2 linked regions of the Notamacropus eugenii genome follow. The protein of the gene in region 2 purifies or fractionates together with the protein of the main gene of each other region. This does not show direct contact. Links are inferred from orthologs where the notes say so. Each region holds a gene or a part of one and is shown on either strand. Other genes may lie near its edges. The genes, in order: DCTPP1 and EYA4.

Region 1 (7,407 bases), on a different chromosome or scaffold from region 2:
AGCACCCACAACTGCAGCCTCACCCTCTGCCTCTTTGAATGGCTCCTAACCATAAATCCACTACCTAAGCACCAGGCCCTGCTCTCTCTATCTAGTGAGTCTGATGTTCAGGGCAGTCCCATCCCAAACTGAGTTTTTCCTTTTCCCCAAAACAGCCCTCTGACGCAGACTTGAAACCATAGTCTTTTTAATTAAATTTTACTTTATTTTCAAATGAAGATGCAATCTCTCACATTCCCCCACCCCACTGAGAAAGCAACAGACAGACACAGACACACACACACAAAACTGCTATAAATGCACAGTCAAGCAAAAAGAAGTTCCTGCATTGACCTTGTCCAAAAAATGTATCATTCTTCATTTGGAATTCATTATCTCTTTATCAGGACGTCGGTGGCAAGTTTCATTATGAGTCCTCCAAAAGCATGGAGTCAAACTCAAAGAGAAACAAGTCACCTAAACCAAAGGACCCCTGTATGTTATACACTGACTTAGAAATTAATTATTGTACTATTACACAGTGTATTATATTACCTATTACACATGTTAATTATCTATGTTCTGTTATAGGTTTAATTTGTTAAATATTTCCCAATTACATTTTAATCTGGTTCAGACTGCCACAATTGCTACCTCTGCTCTAGAACTATGGCCGTTCAAAATTCCCAAGTCTTTGAAGACTTCCTCATTCATCTTTTAACACCTTCCTCTCCCTTACCTTCCACAATGAGCCTCTTAAGTTCTGTCCATTCTGTTTCTGAAATATCTTTAGCATCCACCCATTCCCTCCCTCCCTAGGCCATCCCACCTTAAGCCTTTGTCACACCTCTTGCCTGGACTACTATAATATTGTAACTGGTCTCCCTTTCTCCTGGCTCTTCCTCTTTCTAAATGCATCCTTCTTTCCATCACTGAAGTAATTTCCTAATGCACAGGTCTAATGACCGCCTTTAGTGGCTCTGAGCAAAATCCTTAGCCTGGCAAGCAAGACTCTTTATCGCTCCATGACATGGCCCTGTACTCCTTTTCAAGCTTTATTTTCTATTAATTTCCTTTACTTTCTCTTCAGTCATATTGGACAGTTGCTATTATTATCACACACCTCATTATTTCCTGCCTTTACTTATGCTATTAGCATTTGGGGTCCTACCTACCCCCATCATTTGCACCTAGCAAAATCCTACCCATTCATCTTTCTAGGCTCAGCTCAAATGCCACCTAGGAAGCCAGGAATGCTCTTTACCTCCTCAAAAATCTTTGCCAAGAAAATCCCTCAAACTTCCTTGGCTCACAGGACTTTGTACCTCTCCTATGCTCTTATCAAATTCTGCCTTATATTTTCATTAAATATTTCCCAACTAAATGTAAGAAAAATTTAACATGCTTTTTAAAAAAATTTTGAGTTCCAAATTCTCTCTCCCAATTCTCCCCCTTTTGAGAAGGCAAGCCATTTGATAGTAATTCTACATATGAAGTTATGTAAAACATGCCTCCACATTAGCCATGTTGCAAAAGAAAACATATGTCCAAAAAAAGGGGAGAAAAATAAAGAAAGTAAAAAAGTATGCTCCATTCTGTATTCAGAGTTGATCCGTTCTCTCTCTGATGGTAGACAGCATTTTATTACATATATTTGATTCATTCTCCCTACTAGATTGTAAACCTTTAAGGGCATGGCCTATGCCTTGTCAGTCTTTACATACCCCACTGCACCACCGTGCAAAGATAAAAACTCACAGATTAATCCAGTACCAGCATCCCAACAGAGCAGGTGATGCCAAGGTGGAAAGGGAAGATAGGAAGGACCCAGTGCATCCCTTCTTCCCCACCTGTCCCAATCCCTATGCCATTCCCGTTACTCACAAGAGCTCTGCCAGCTCTCCCACTTCCCCAACGAGGGCCAGGAGGAGGTTCCGAGGTTTATGAAACTGGTCCCAGTCTCGTTCGGCTGCAAACTCTGTCTGGAGGCGACGGCTATAGGGGAGAAAGAAGGGGAAGGGGTAGGAGAGGCAAAGACTAGGTCGGAAGAAGGGCCAGCCCTGCAGCAAGAACTAACTGTCAGAACTGAGAGGGATGTTAAATGAGAATTTATTACAAACCCCTCATTTTACAGAGGGGTAAACTGAGGCCAGGAAAGTAGGTGGTGTCCTCCACCAGGCCTGGAGTCAGAAAGACTCATCTTCCTGAGTTCAGATCCAAGTCTCGGACATGTGCTAGCTGTGTGACCCTGGGCAAGTCACTTCACCCTGTCTGCCTCAGTTTCCTCATCTGTCAAACGAGCTGGGGAAGGAAGTGGCAAAGCATGCCAGTGTCTTTGCCAGGAAAACCCCAGACGGGGTCAGGAGAATCGGAAGTGACCGAACCCCCGCCACGAGCGGTCCACTAGGGGCTCCCTCTTGGGGGATCACCACGCCCACTTTACAGATGGGGAAACTGAGGCTCCGGGCACTTAGCAAAAGGAGCTGAAGTTCACGAAGCCCCCTTCGCCATCGTCACCGTCGCTCCCACGTACCCTGCACCGGGGCCTCACAGGGCCCGGCGCGGGGGGCGTCAGGCGGGCGCCCCATCTCTCTCACGGCTCCCCCCCTCCCAGGCCAGCGCTTAACGAGCCGGGGCCCGGGGCAGACATCGGCGCCTGTGCCAGCCCGAGTTTTGTCATCTGGTTTTGTGCACGCGAAGCGCCAGGACAGACAGGTTCGAGTCCCCCGGCTGGGTGACCCTGGGCAAGTCACTTAACCCCTGGGGCTGGCCGCTGCGGAGGCGGTGCTGACCTGTACTGGTGGAGGGTGTTTCCTCACCTGGGAGCTGCTAATACTAACACCGAAATAATCGGAATCTGGGCTTTCTCCAGCGGGCAGGGCACTGCGGGCTGGCAGGAGGCCTCGGGCTCCTCAGGGCCCCCCTCCCCGCCATCTTGCCCCATGGGGTGGGCAGCATCCCCGACTAAGGAGAGGAGGAGCGGGGCCCGCATCTCACATGTCCTCCAGCGTGGGCTCGGGGCTGAAGCTGAATGGGGTATCGTGCCCCGCCGCCGCCGCCGCCGCTCCCGCCGCCGCCGCGCCCTCGGGGCCGCTGCCCCCCGGCATGGTGCTGCAGAGGCCCCACTCACTCCGAAGCCACGTGAAGCCGCCCGGCCCGGCCCGGCCCCTCCCCCTCTCCCGTTTTCCCGGGCTCCGGCCCCCGCGGCGCGTTCTCCCTTTACGCAGGCGCAGTCGAGAAGTCAGGCCGCAGAGAGCGGGGAGGAGGCGGGACAGGTCCTGAGAAGGAGCCAATAACGTACCTTATGTTTTCTCCCGGGCCCACACATGGACCAATCAGAGAGCCTCGCGCTCGGACTCCTGAGGCGGGGCCTAAGGTAAGGTGGGCTGGGCGTGGGCTCCCTAGAGCGAGAGCTCTTAAAGGGCCCGTTCGTTAAACCTTAGGGTCCGATCCGCCAAGGGATAAACAAGGAAAGGCGGGGGACACAGGAACTAGGGCGCAAGCGCAAAAGGCCGTAGCTGGAAAACTGGGCCAGGGCTGGCGTGTCCTCGATTGGCCACCAGATGGCGACAAGAAACATGCACCCTGGAAGGGTTCCTGAGCTCCACCGTTCAACCAGCATTTATTAAGCTTCTGCTGCGTACCCTGCGAGTGCGAGGAACGCACCTGGAAGCAGACAGCCGTGCCACTGCCCCCCTCCCCTGGTCCCCATTGGGCTGGAAGAAGGCGAGCCCTGGGAGGCCAGGGGCTGCAGCCATGCTCCCAGAATCCAGTGGGGTTGTAGTAGGCACGTGAATGCAGGCTGGTTGTCTGCGTACACACATATGTCAAGATCGTCCGAACATGTAAACACATGTAATGTGCTACATGCTTATACATGTATGTAATGTATTACATTATTTATATAGAAATGTACGTAAGATATTTCTGTATAATAGAAATATATGATCTATGTATGGAAACATTTTATGTATAAATATATACATATATGCATGTATATGTATAATATATATTATATTATATTATATGTTATTATTATATTATATATTATAATATATATAATTATACATAATATATATGTATAAATCAATATATTCATACATAAAGTATGTTACATAAATAGTACATATAATATGTTATATATAAATATATTTATACCTAAAGTATGTTACATAAATATGCATTTATACAAATATATGATGTACATTTATATATAATGTATGCACAGCACTGTAAATACAAATTAATTGTGGAGGGGGGAGGGCATTAACCACTGGGAGGATGGGGAAAAGCCTATACAAACTGGCACTTGAATTGAGATTGGAAACCTTATGTGTGTGTGTATACATACATACATACATATATATACATATGTATACATATATACATGCATATATATATGAATGATTGTGTATAATTCCAAACTGCTCTCCATAACTGCTGTAAAAGTTCATGAAGTGGTTTAGTTTGCCTTTTCCCCTCAATATACATCATTTACTGTTTTGGCCCTTGTTGTTTATGAGGTAGAAACTCGAAATTGCTTTTATTTTAATATTTCTCTAATAATGACAGAGCATTTTTAGAGGGTCAGAGATCATTTGGATGTATTCCTTTGAGGGTGGAGGCACTGCTGTTCTTCAAGTCTCCCTTGTTATCTCTGACACCTCATTCTCCCTTACCCCTATGTCTAGTCAGTTGTCATATCTTGCTATTTCTCCTTCTACATCTCTCAAATATGACCCCTTCTCTCTGCTCAATGAACCTTACTTGAGGCCCTTCTCACCTCTGCTTCAAGTCTCTCCACTAGAGTCTATACTCCATACTACTACCAGTGATTTTGCTTAGGTACAGATCTTGCCTTGTCAGGCCAGGGGCTTCCTTTTGGCTTGAGGATAAAAAGCAAACACTTCTCTTTAGCTTTTAAAGCCTTATAAGACCTGGCCTGAAATTCCTTCCAGCCTTGTTTTACACTACTCCTTTCCTGCAAACTGTGATCCAATCACCTTCTCTTTGTCCCCTCTCCATATCATTTTGTACCTTGGGTAAATCAGGAAATATTCCAGGCCTGTATTGTCCTTCAACCAACTGCTATGCTCAGAGATCCTAAAGGATGTCTGGAAGCAGAAATAGCAGATAACATCATGCTCCCCACCAATCACCCTCCAGGAACCTTCTTAAAAGCAGGAGATGTCTCTAACACACACAAGAGATAAGAATTTTCTTACACAGAAAGGAATGCCTGGTAAAACATTTCTCAAGCTGCCAGACCACCCCATAGTGGAAAACTTCAAAACCGATGTTCCAGTCTGGACACAGATTTAGAAATCCATCCTTCCCACTCCCCACTGGCTATGAATAGTTGTCTCCAGTACATGTCTTTTGGACAAGTACATGTTATGTATGGGCTTCCTTTTCCCCTTCCAAGAGCAGATACTTTGGTTAATACATAATCACTCATTTAGAGAGGCATTTCCTGCCAAATAGAGAAATTATAATGGGTAGGAGAAACAAATCAGGTCTCTTACTTTTTAAAACATTTCCTGAATTCAGAAAGTCCTCATTCCATTTGTTGTAGTGAATGGCTATAATTAAGAGAAGTAACATGAATTCACTCCAGAAAGATGACTTGGCTCTGGATCATATAAAGCTTTGAACGCCAGATGAGTCTGGAATTGAGGAGGCAATAAAAAGCAATTGAGGCTTCAGGGTCAGAACTGGGCTTTAGGAATATCATTTAGGCAGTTAGATGGCGGTGGCCTAGAGAAAGAAGACCCTAGGGGCAGGAAGACTAATTAATTAGGATGCTAGTCAGTGGTCCAGCTAAGAGAGGATGAGGGCTTGAACTAAAAAGTGACTGGGTGAGTTTAGAGAAAGGGACAGATTGGAAGGATGTGTTTGGAGGTAGAATTGACAAGACTTGGAAACTGATGGGCTACAGGCATGGGAGAGGGATGATGGAGTCATTTAGTCAAAAGTCAAAAATCACTCTAAGATAACTACTAAGTCATGTAAGTCTCAATACCCTGTGCTAGTAACCTACAACATTAGCCCTGGGAGGGGCCTTTGGGAACCATATGATCCAACAACTACTTTATAGAGGAGGTTCCTCAGACCTTCCTAGAGGAGTTAGTGGCCCAGTATCCTGGGCTCCTGAGTCCCACCCTGTGGTTCTTTTCACTGCATTATCTTTCCATAAAATCTGTTCTAGCTTCTCAGGACTTCTTGCTTCCAAGAAAGTTTGGTAGTGAAACTCCCTGGAGAGACAGGGACTGGGGAAATGGAAAGCCTATGAGTCCAGACCTCTCATTTTACAGATGAGGAAACTGAGGCACAAGAGACTAAGTGATTCCCCCAGGGTCACAGAGGTAGTAAGCATCTAAGGTAGGAGCCGAACCCAGATCTTTCTGCATCTAAGTTCAGCCTATTCCATGTTGCTTCTCACAGAGTCAATATGTACCAAAGATGAGATCTGAACATAGATTTTCCTGATTCAGGGGTTCTTTCTATTAAATCATGTTAATATTCCATAGCATTTACATGGGTAAGTAAATAGAAGGTAATTTGAGGGATAGAGAAGTCTTTGAGGAATAGATAAAACCCAAGCTGAACCTTAAAGGAAGATTAAAAAAAAACAACAAAACAGAAACTAAGATAAAGAAGAAGTGAGTTCCAGTCACGAGAAACATAGATTTAGGAAAGGAAATGTCAAGTTCAGGGAACAAGTCATAGTCTAGTCTGGCTGTAGCAAAGAGTCTATGCAAGGGAATAATATGAAATAAAGTTGGAAGGATAGGTTTACTCTAACCAATAAATATTTATTAAGCATCTAAGGTAAATCAGGTTATAGAAGGCCTTAATTACCATAGTCAGGGATTGTTATTTGTCTTATAGCAATTGGGAACCATTGAAGGTCTTTGAGAAGAATTAGAGAGAGAAGGAAGAATAGGGAGACCAGTTAGGAGGTTATTACAATAGTCTAGACAGGAGGTAACTGGCCTAAAGTAGGATGAATGAAGAAAAGGGAATAGATGGAAAAGATGTCATAGAGGCCAATGGAAGATAATAGATGGGACTTGGTAACTGATTAGATATGGGGATGAGGAAGAGGGAAGACACTGAGGTTATAAACCTAAGTGTCAGGGTGGATAGTGGTATCTTGGACAGAAGTAAGGAAGTTTATGGGATGGAGGATGCTAAGTTTGGGTAGCTGAAGGAAATCCAGGTAGAGAAGTTGCATGTGTGTGTCAGAAACAGGAACTGCAATCATTTTTTAGCATTTTGGCAGACCAATATTGTAGGGATCTCCCTCTCCAACCATCTGATGGCCCAATAATAGAAAGTCTCCAACCACTATTGAAGGAGTATATAAAGTAATAAGCTGTGCAAGGACATAGCAAAATTGGATGGTCTGATCCAATGTTATAACAG
Region 2 (7,917 bases):
ATGACTAACTTAAACCTTTTCTAAGGTATACAATCAACTATAAACATAGGACAGTCATTTTTTTTTTTTTTTTTGCATTTTTCTCCTGCTGCCATAAAGAAGAAATAGTCTCCTAGTTACACATATCACTGTTTCTGGCATTCCAGCCCGTATAAAACTGCACATTTCCGTTTACCTTAATTTTCTATAGCTTACTTTGAATATTTCATTTTTACCTAAAATATACACATAAATACTTAACAAGTTATTTGTTCCTTAGAATCGTCTATGGCAAATATTAAAGATTTATTTCATATTTTCCCTGTCTTTTATCTGGTTCTGATTATCGCGTTTGGGCGCTTAAGGCTTGAAGTAACGTCCTACAAAAAACCAAAAATGTATTTTTTTGTTTTTCAATATCAAACATTATAAGAAAATCCTTGTTAGCGACCCCCTGAGTCGTATGGGTTAAAAAACAACAGCACCAGCACCAGCACCAGCACCTTTTAATATTTTCAGTCTCCTAAATTTAAATGAAACTTCAGAAGCCTACGATTGGCATTACGCAGTTGTGCTAAACGTTATTAAAGCTCCCACCTAAATCCCGCAGGAGTTTGACGCTGAAATTGACAAAGACCTGTGGAGAATGCAATCAGTTGCTGTCAATAAGAGTGCCATATTCTTGAAGATAAATTTCTTTCGATCAGTTACATTCATCTCAGGGTGCGAGCCAGACAGAGGTAAGGGAAAAAGAAAACTGTTAAGTATGAGCCCTTAATGTGAAATCTAACCTGTTGGTGCTCTTAGGTATCAGATTTTGGAAGTGTCTGTAATGACAGCCAGAGAGGCAAATTAATGGCCAACAGCCCACTGGGTTTGAACACGAAGAATCCAGTTACCTCCTTACAGATCAAGTACACAACACACACGCACACGGAGGTCCTCCACGTGGAACTGTCTTGAAACCAAAACACATGTCTGCACTTCTATACTGCACCAGGCAAGAAGGGAACCTACACCTTCCCTAGCTAGTATTCTTGAATGGTTTGAGTATCTTCTCCCGCACTTTAGAGGGGAAGGAGGCAGAGAAAGAATGTATGAATGGAAGCAAACCCACGCAATCATTGAGAAGCACAAACTTTCTTCCCTCAGGGCAAGGAGATACGGAAAACGCACGGAGAATCTACTCCCTAATAGTCTGCAAAAATTAAACTCTCCCTTACTGTTTTGCCCATCTGCTCTGCCTTGAGATTCCATCAGTAAACTCTCCTAATAACTCCAAGCTGTTCTGAGTTTTGTATACAAAGAAAGGATAATATTTAAGTGCTACTAAGTAAAGATTTTTTGGATGCTGTAATGCGCAGATTAAAGAACCATGCAAACTGTCAACTTGCAAATACAACTAAACAACACCGAAAAAGAAAAATAGTATAGTCTTAGAGAGCCCCCTTGACTAGTACCGAAGACCTTGTCTCTTCCTTCTATAGTCACGCTGTATTTGTTGGGGGGTGGGAGGGGAGAACTGTAATTTTTCTACTGCATCCATAGACAGCCAGTGTAATTCTGACAACTCTAGGCTAATTTCACGGATCCTGGCAAACTCACCAAGCTGTTCGTTCCACGGCACATAAAAAATTATTAAATACGGAACACCATGGTAGACGTGCTCATAAAATTCATTGGAAACTGTTTGTGCCTCCAGTTTAAAAGGAAACTGCTGCATTTGTTCATGCACCCCAACAAACAAACACAAACACACCCCAACGCTCCTACATCTGGGTATAACTATGGGTCATCTTTACGCCTGCACAATTTAAGTGTATCCTCGAAATATAAATTTAAAACAATCGGAGAAAGAGAGTAAACCTGACGAAGGCTCATCCATCAGGATTTGTCATTACTATTATTATTATTGGACGGTGGAGACGAGGACAGGTAAGTAAAGGAGGAAGGAACAATGAACCGGCCGCGGGGACCTAGCTTAGGGTTCGCAAAGGATTTCCCTGACCCCCTGTAACAAGACTTCCAGTGAAGTGGCGAGACGCATAGAATTCTGAGCAAGCGAGAGAAGGACATCACCTGAAGTGGAGCAGAAAATTTGGCAGGGAAGAAGCAGCCCCGGTACCCACACCAGAGTTCAAAGTCCACAAAGTACCAGGAAAACAGGATTCAGGCTGATCACTCGGACATAGTGCAAGAACCATCCCCTCCACCATTCACCGCCCCCCCCCCCCAAGTTACTGATCTCTCTCTCTCTCTCTCTCTCTCTCTCTCTCTCTCTCTCTCTCTCTCTCTCTCTCTCTCTCTCTCTCTCTCTCTCTCTCTCTCTCACCTCCCTCCCCTTTCCCTTTTTCTCTCTCCCCCCCTCCCCCCCCAATGGCAGCTTTCGGCCTCAGCTGGGTACATTTTCTCAGGGAGAGTTAAGGTCTAATCACAAGCGAAGAACAATGACTCAAAAAGCAAAATATCGCCAGACTTTTAAGGGAGTTAGGAAGATGGGATACTCACCCTGCTGGTGCCCCGACAGCCGCAATTTTTAACTTTTTTTTTAAGCCTCTGATCCGTTTGTATATAGAGTGTATGGGTATGTATTTATTTATTTATTCTCCTCCCTTCTTGATGTCGAAGTTTCCCCTCTGCTGTTCCTCTGGTGAAAACAGGACATCCCCTTCGGCTACCCGCACCACCCCCCAATAACTAGAGTACACAAGTGGAAGAGAAGGGTGGGGGTCCGTGAGAGAAGTCTAGGCTCAGCGGGGGAAGAAGAAAGGAAGAGGGCCAAAACTTTTGAGTGACTTCCAAAACAAAACAAAAAAGCAAAGAGAAAGCCCCCACGCTGGTAGAGTTGTCAAACACTCGTTCTGTCCTTAGGAGAGGGGGCCCTTCCCCAGTTTCCAGGACTATTAATCGTTTGGAGTGGGGGGAGGCACTGGGCGGGGGTGGTGTTTTCTGAGTTTAAAAAGGAGAGGGAGCCCTTGGGAGCGGTAAGCGGAGCGTGCCCTGGAGCAGGAGCTGCTTCGCACTTGTGCGGAGGGGGGAGCGGTGGCAGGCGGCGCCTGCCCGGGTGGTTGGAGCTGCCGCTGCCGCTGCCGCTGACGCTACTGCTGCCGCCGCCGCTGCTACTCCAGCAGCTGCCCCTGCCCTGCCCTGCCCTGCCCCTGCCCCTGCCCCTGTCTCTGACTACAGCCGCCACCGCCACTGCCGCCGCCGCTGCTGCCGCTGCTGCTGCCACTGAGCGAGGAGGCTGCCGCCGCACAACAAAGCTGCAAAAAGGCAGGGGGAGATGTTGGAGCCCGAGGCTGCAGTCTAGGAGGCTACGGGGTGAAACCGAGCGGACAAGACTGAATTCTGCTTATTTCAGTTCAGGCTGCTGAACGCTGTCATTGGTGGCATGCTGGAGTAGGGAGCCGATGGGACTATGATGTCGGGGACCGTGGGAGTAAGCTGTGGCAAGGCTCTGACATACCTCCTAACTTTCTCCTTAGCCCTGGCCAAGACTTTACTGCTACCTGAGGCAGCACACTCCCCCCTCCCTTTCCCAAGGGTATTGGAAGAACTCTTTGGACCACATTTCCCTTCCCCACCTGCTACTTGAGGAATTCTACAGGATCCTCCCCTAACACTCTCTCTCTCTCTCTCTCTCTCTCTCTCTCTCTCTCTCTCTCTCTCTCTCTCTCTCTCTCTCTCTCTCTCTCTCTCTCTCTCTCTCTCTGTCTCTCTCTCTCTGTCTCTCTCTCTCTCTGTCTCTCTGTCTCTCTCTCTCTCTGTCTCTCTCTCTCTGTCTCTCTCTCTCTCTGTCTCTCTGTCTCTCTCTCTCTCTGTCTCTCTCTCTCTGTCTGTCTGTCTGTCTGTCTCTCTCACTCTCTCTCTGTCTCTCTGTCTCTGTCTCTGTCTCTGTCTCTCCCTCCCTCTCCCCCTCTCTCCCCTTCTTTCCCCTTTCCACCAACACAGGCACACACACACACACACACACACACACACACACACACACATACACACACACACACACACACTGGAAGCTGCTACATTCCCTTCTGCCAAAACTATTTCTATTTTGCCCGCGAGTGTATGGGGTTGGGGCGGGGGGGGGGGGAGAAGGGAGTCTTTTTTTCTTTTTGGAGGAAAAGGAAACTGGATAGGAGGATTTTTCCTCATGTCCTAACTGCTCCTCTCCTCCCTTCCACCCCAATGCCACCCCCATGCTATTCATGAGCCTCTGACAGATAGCTATGTGACACGAATAAATGAAGGAGCAACCAGTTTTGGAATGTGCTATACCAGAAGGGATTGAGCCACTTCAGTTCTGTGGGCAGGTATGGGAATCCTGGGCAGATGTCAAAGGTCAGCCCAGCCAAAATTGGATTCCAGAGCCAGCTCACTCAGCTCAATGATTTTACAAGCATCTTGCTGAAGCAACAGTTTTTACTTGATACTTCTGAATGTGTATCTACATATAGATAGAATTTACCAAAGCCTGTGCAAAGCCTCATAGGACAATTAGTAACTATGCTCGTGTCCCCATCTCTTTTCAAACCTGATTATTTATTTTAATAAGCTTCTGCCATGAAAGCTACCATTCATAAATTAAAATGCATTTGCATCTATCCATCTCTCCATTCATCCGTGCATCCATCCATCCATCTATCTCTGTCTGTCTGTCTATCTCTCATCTTCCTGACATTCACATGAGGAAAACAGAAGTCAAGAAGTTGTCCTAACCTTTCTGATTAAGGCAGAGAGCCTTATTAAACAAATATTTAGACTTAGGAATTGAAGTATGAATAGAAAAATTACTGAAACTGCTCATCATTTTTTTCCTGATATGGACATTAGCTAGAATTTGATTTAGATGAGTATATGTTCAGGGCCATGCCCCAGATCTAGCTTTCCCCTCTGATGTCTGGAAGTCTCTTTGTTTTGATGACCAAAAAGAGAAACTTTATGATTGGCAGGATTGTTTTCCTACCTAAATATACCTATATGAAAGAACATCTGTTGAAGCAACAATTAACTTTTTTTTAAACTTAACATTGAGACAGATAAATTAATTTCCCCCTGTGTTGGGTCTCTTACTACCAGTGTCTTTCCTATAAAAGAAACAAATAGAACTTGAGACACACTTGAATATACAAGTCATGGATGTTAAAATAATTTGTTCAATGTCTATGGCTTAGAAATTTTTTAAAAAAGTACATACTCTTCAATATCCTTCCCTTCTGCCACCACTCCTATTCCTTTTAAGAGTAAACTTACAGATTAATGATATGATAGATAAATAGTACAGTGCATGAAGATTAGTTTTGTTTATACTTTTCACACCATTGTATTATTGGCCAGGAAATTTCCTCCTCATTTTCCTTAGCTTCTAAGAGCATTTTAAATGTATTAGTTCAATTATTGCTTTGCATCTAAACAAGATAATTTGGACAGTGCTACTATCCATTGATAGCTGGAAAAAAATCATAAGATCCTAAGTCATCAGTTTAGAAGTGGAAGTGACCTTAGAGGCCATCTAATCCAACTCTCTCACTTTATAGAAAAGGAAACTAAGGGTCAGAGAGTGACTTGCCCAATATCACAGAAGTACTAGTAGTAAATTGGGGGTTTCAATTGAGGTTCTAAGTTCAAATTCATTGATCTTTCCTCTATAATACCTCTCTGTATAGTCACCTTTCTGGACTTCTAGTGAGGAGAAAGTCAATGTTATCCTCCCCGCCCCCGCAAAGTATTCCTTTTAGAATTTTGATTTTCTAGATTTCAAAAAGTTTTTTTTTCTTTTTAAGGGGTTTATTTACTGCCTGTGGCTATTGCTTGATATGGTAATCATTTTTACACCATTTTCATAATAGAAAAAAAAAAACCTTTCATTTTTGAGCTGTGATCATAGATTATGATTCACAGTTCAAAAACCAAATTTATCATGAATTCTAACTTCAAAATAACTGTCCATATATGAATTTCATATAACCCATAATGCATTCTCTGAAATTGACTTGTCTAGAAAAGACCCTGCTTTCAGAAACAGTATGTGGCTTTCTTGTATAATTACAAAACTGCACTAAATGCATGTGTGCATTTGTTGGGAAGGAGAGGTAATAGAGTTTTAATTCTTCCCTTTTAGGTTCCATTAATTCTACTTCTCACTCATGAGGTGAAATGTTTTTGTATATTCCTAATTAATATCTTCCTTTACTTCTTCCCTCCATCTCCCATCTTCACTTCTACTATATGTCCTTTATTTCTGCATGTTGTGAAAAATTTAAGTCCAGGTTACTTGGTCAGCATTATTAGTTGTAAATCTTCCTGATGTTTCATATTTTCATTTTTCCTGAACCAATCCCCCTAACACCAGTTTCAGTTTCCTTATTAAATCATTATAGATGGTTGCTAATTTAAGTTAATGAATTCTATTTCTAAAAGTAACTAAAACATCCAAATGTCTTCAAATCTGGTCTCTGCTTTTATCATGAAATAATAATATGGCTGTATGCTCTCATCCAATATTGAAGACTGAAGCCTAATCATTAAAATAAATCATCTTTAGGAAAATGGGTAATTGAAATTAAAGTGCTTTAAAGAATCAAAAAATCATACAAGTGACACTAATTTAATAAATGACTTCCTCATTGTACTTGAAAGGTTTATTTATAAATTACAGAAAACATCCATAAGTGCATTCTTAATATAAACCAATTTCAGCTACAAGTTGTCCTTAACCTTTGGATCTCATTTTGTTTTCAGATTTTGCAGGGTGTTATTGCCTTGTAATTGGGGCTGGGGGAGCAGGACTCAGAATCTGGGGAAAATAAAAGTCTACAATTAAGTATAATACAAATAAAAATATATGATACCATTGATTATTTTTGTGCTTTTTTTTATTAAAAAAACGGGTTTTCAGTAGCAGGAATATCCATCCTGTTTTCAAATTGTAGCATGTGATATTAACTATATTTATCCAAACTAATACATTTGGAGAAATATAACAATTTGGCCAAGATATGCAAGTAATAATGAAAAATTTGCAAATAGAGAACAATTTTATTCCAATGTTAAAATATTTCAACTAATTGTTATAGTAGTTTCCTTAAAGATGCATAATAATAATAACAATATCTCATAAGTATTATTACTACTAGTGAAATAAAAACTTCAAGAAAGTCAATTCCATAATTTTCTTGCTTTAGAATATAGTATTGAGTATACCCACACAGTGAATTTATAGGGGGATATGGATGACAGTCACATAGGATAGATAGGTATGGATAGGTTGTGATTTATATTCTTGTAGGGAATACTTCCAGGAATGAAACTATAGATATATTAAAATATTAAAGTAAGCATGATATAGTTTTAACTTCAAGCCCCGCATGAAAATTCGAAAGCAGAAGAAATTAAGGTAGAACTCTAGTGAGATTATACAGATTAAGATAGATTTTTTTTTTTAATTTAAGAGGTTGCCACTTCAGTTTTTTTTTTATTTTTTAAGCTATATTGTACTCATTACAGAAATAAACAAATTATTGAAGAGAAATCAACTGATCATCATTAGTCTATGATAACATAATAAAAATCACATTATCTAAATGAATTTACAGATTTAAGGTCACAGCAATAAAACTACTAAAGGGTTATTTTGCAGAACTGGATATAATACTTAGAAAATTCATCTGGAAGAACAAATAGGTCAAGAATCTCAAAAGACGTGTTTTTTTTTTTTCTGAAAGAAGTATGAATAGAGAAGGTCTTTCAGTATCAGATCTCAAATTATTTTTTAAAAACAAGTCACAACTATTTAGTACTGATTAAAAAAACAGAAAGACAATGAGTCCCAGAGTTTTGGTAAATAAGGTTGAGAAAACATAGTAGCACAGTTTTTGACAAACTAAAGAACACCTACTTATTTGGGGTAAGACTAATCTATCCAATAAAACTTTGAGG

The links.
Region 1: the proteins of EYA4 (region 2) and DCTPP1 purify together in Homo sapiens (affinity purification with mass spectrometry; 3 studies listed by BioGRID and IntAct, with this or other methods). This does not show direct contact. The link is inferred for Notamacropus eugenii from reciprocal best matches to the Homo sapiens genes EYA4 and DCTPP1.

The regions. Positions count from the first base shown.
Region 1 is NC_092874.1:378,218,245-378,225,651, reverse strand, and holds the start of DCTPP1 (dCTP pyrophosphatase 1), read right to left. Parts: upstream 3,231-7,407; 5' UTR 3,087-3,230; coding exon 2,977-3,086; intron 1,975-2,976; coding exon 1,864-1,974; intron 1-1,863. UniProt on the Homo sapiens protein: Hydrolyzes deoxynucleoside triphosphates (dNTPs) to the corresponding nucleoside monophosphates. Has a strong preference for dCTP and its analogs including 5-iodo-dCTP and 5-methyl-dCTP for which it may even have a higher efficiency.
Region 2 is NC_092873.1:218,976,869-218,984,785, reverse strand, and holds the start of EYA4 (protein phosphatase EYA4), read right to left. Parts: upstream 3,114-7,917; 5' UTR 2,488-3,113; intron 2,185-2,487; exon of another isoform or gene 2,059-2,184; intron 1-2,058. UniProt on the Homo sapiens protein: Tyrosine phosphatase that specifically dephosphorylates 'Tyr-142' of histone H2AX (H2AXY142ph). 'Tyr-142' phosphorylation of histone H2AX plays a central role in DNA repair and acts as a mark that distinguishes between apoptotic and repair responses to genotoxic stress.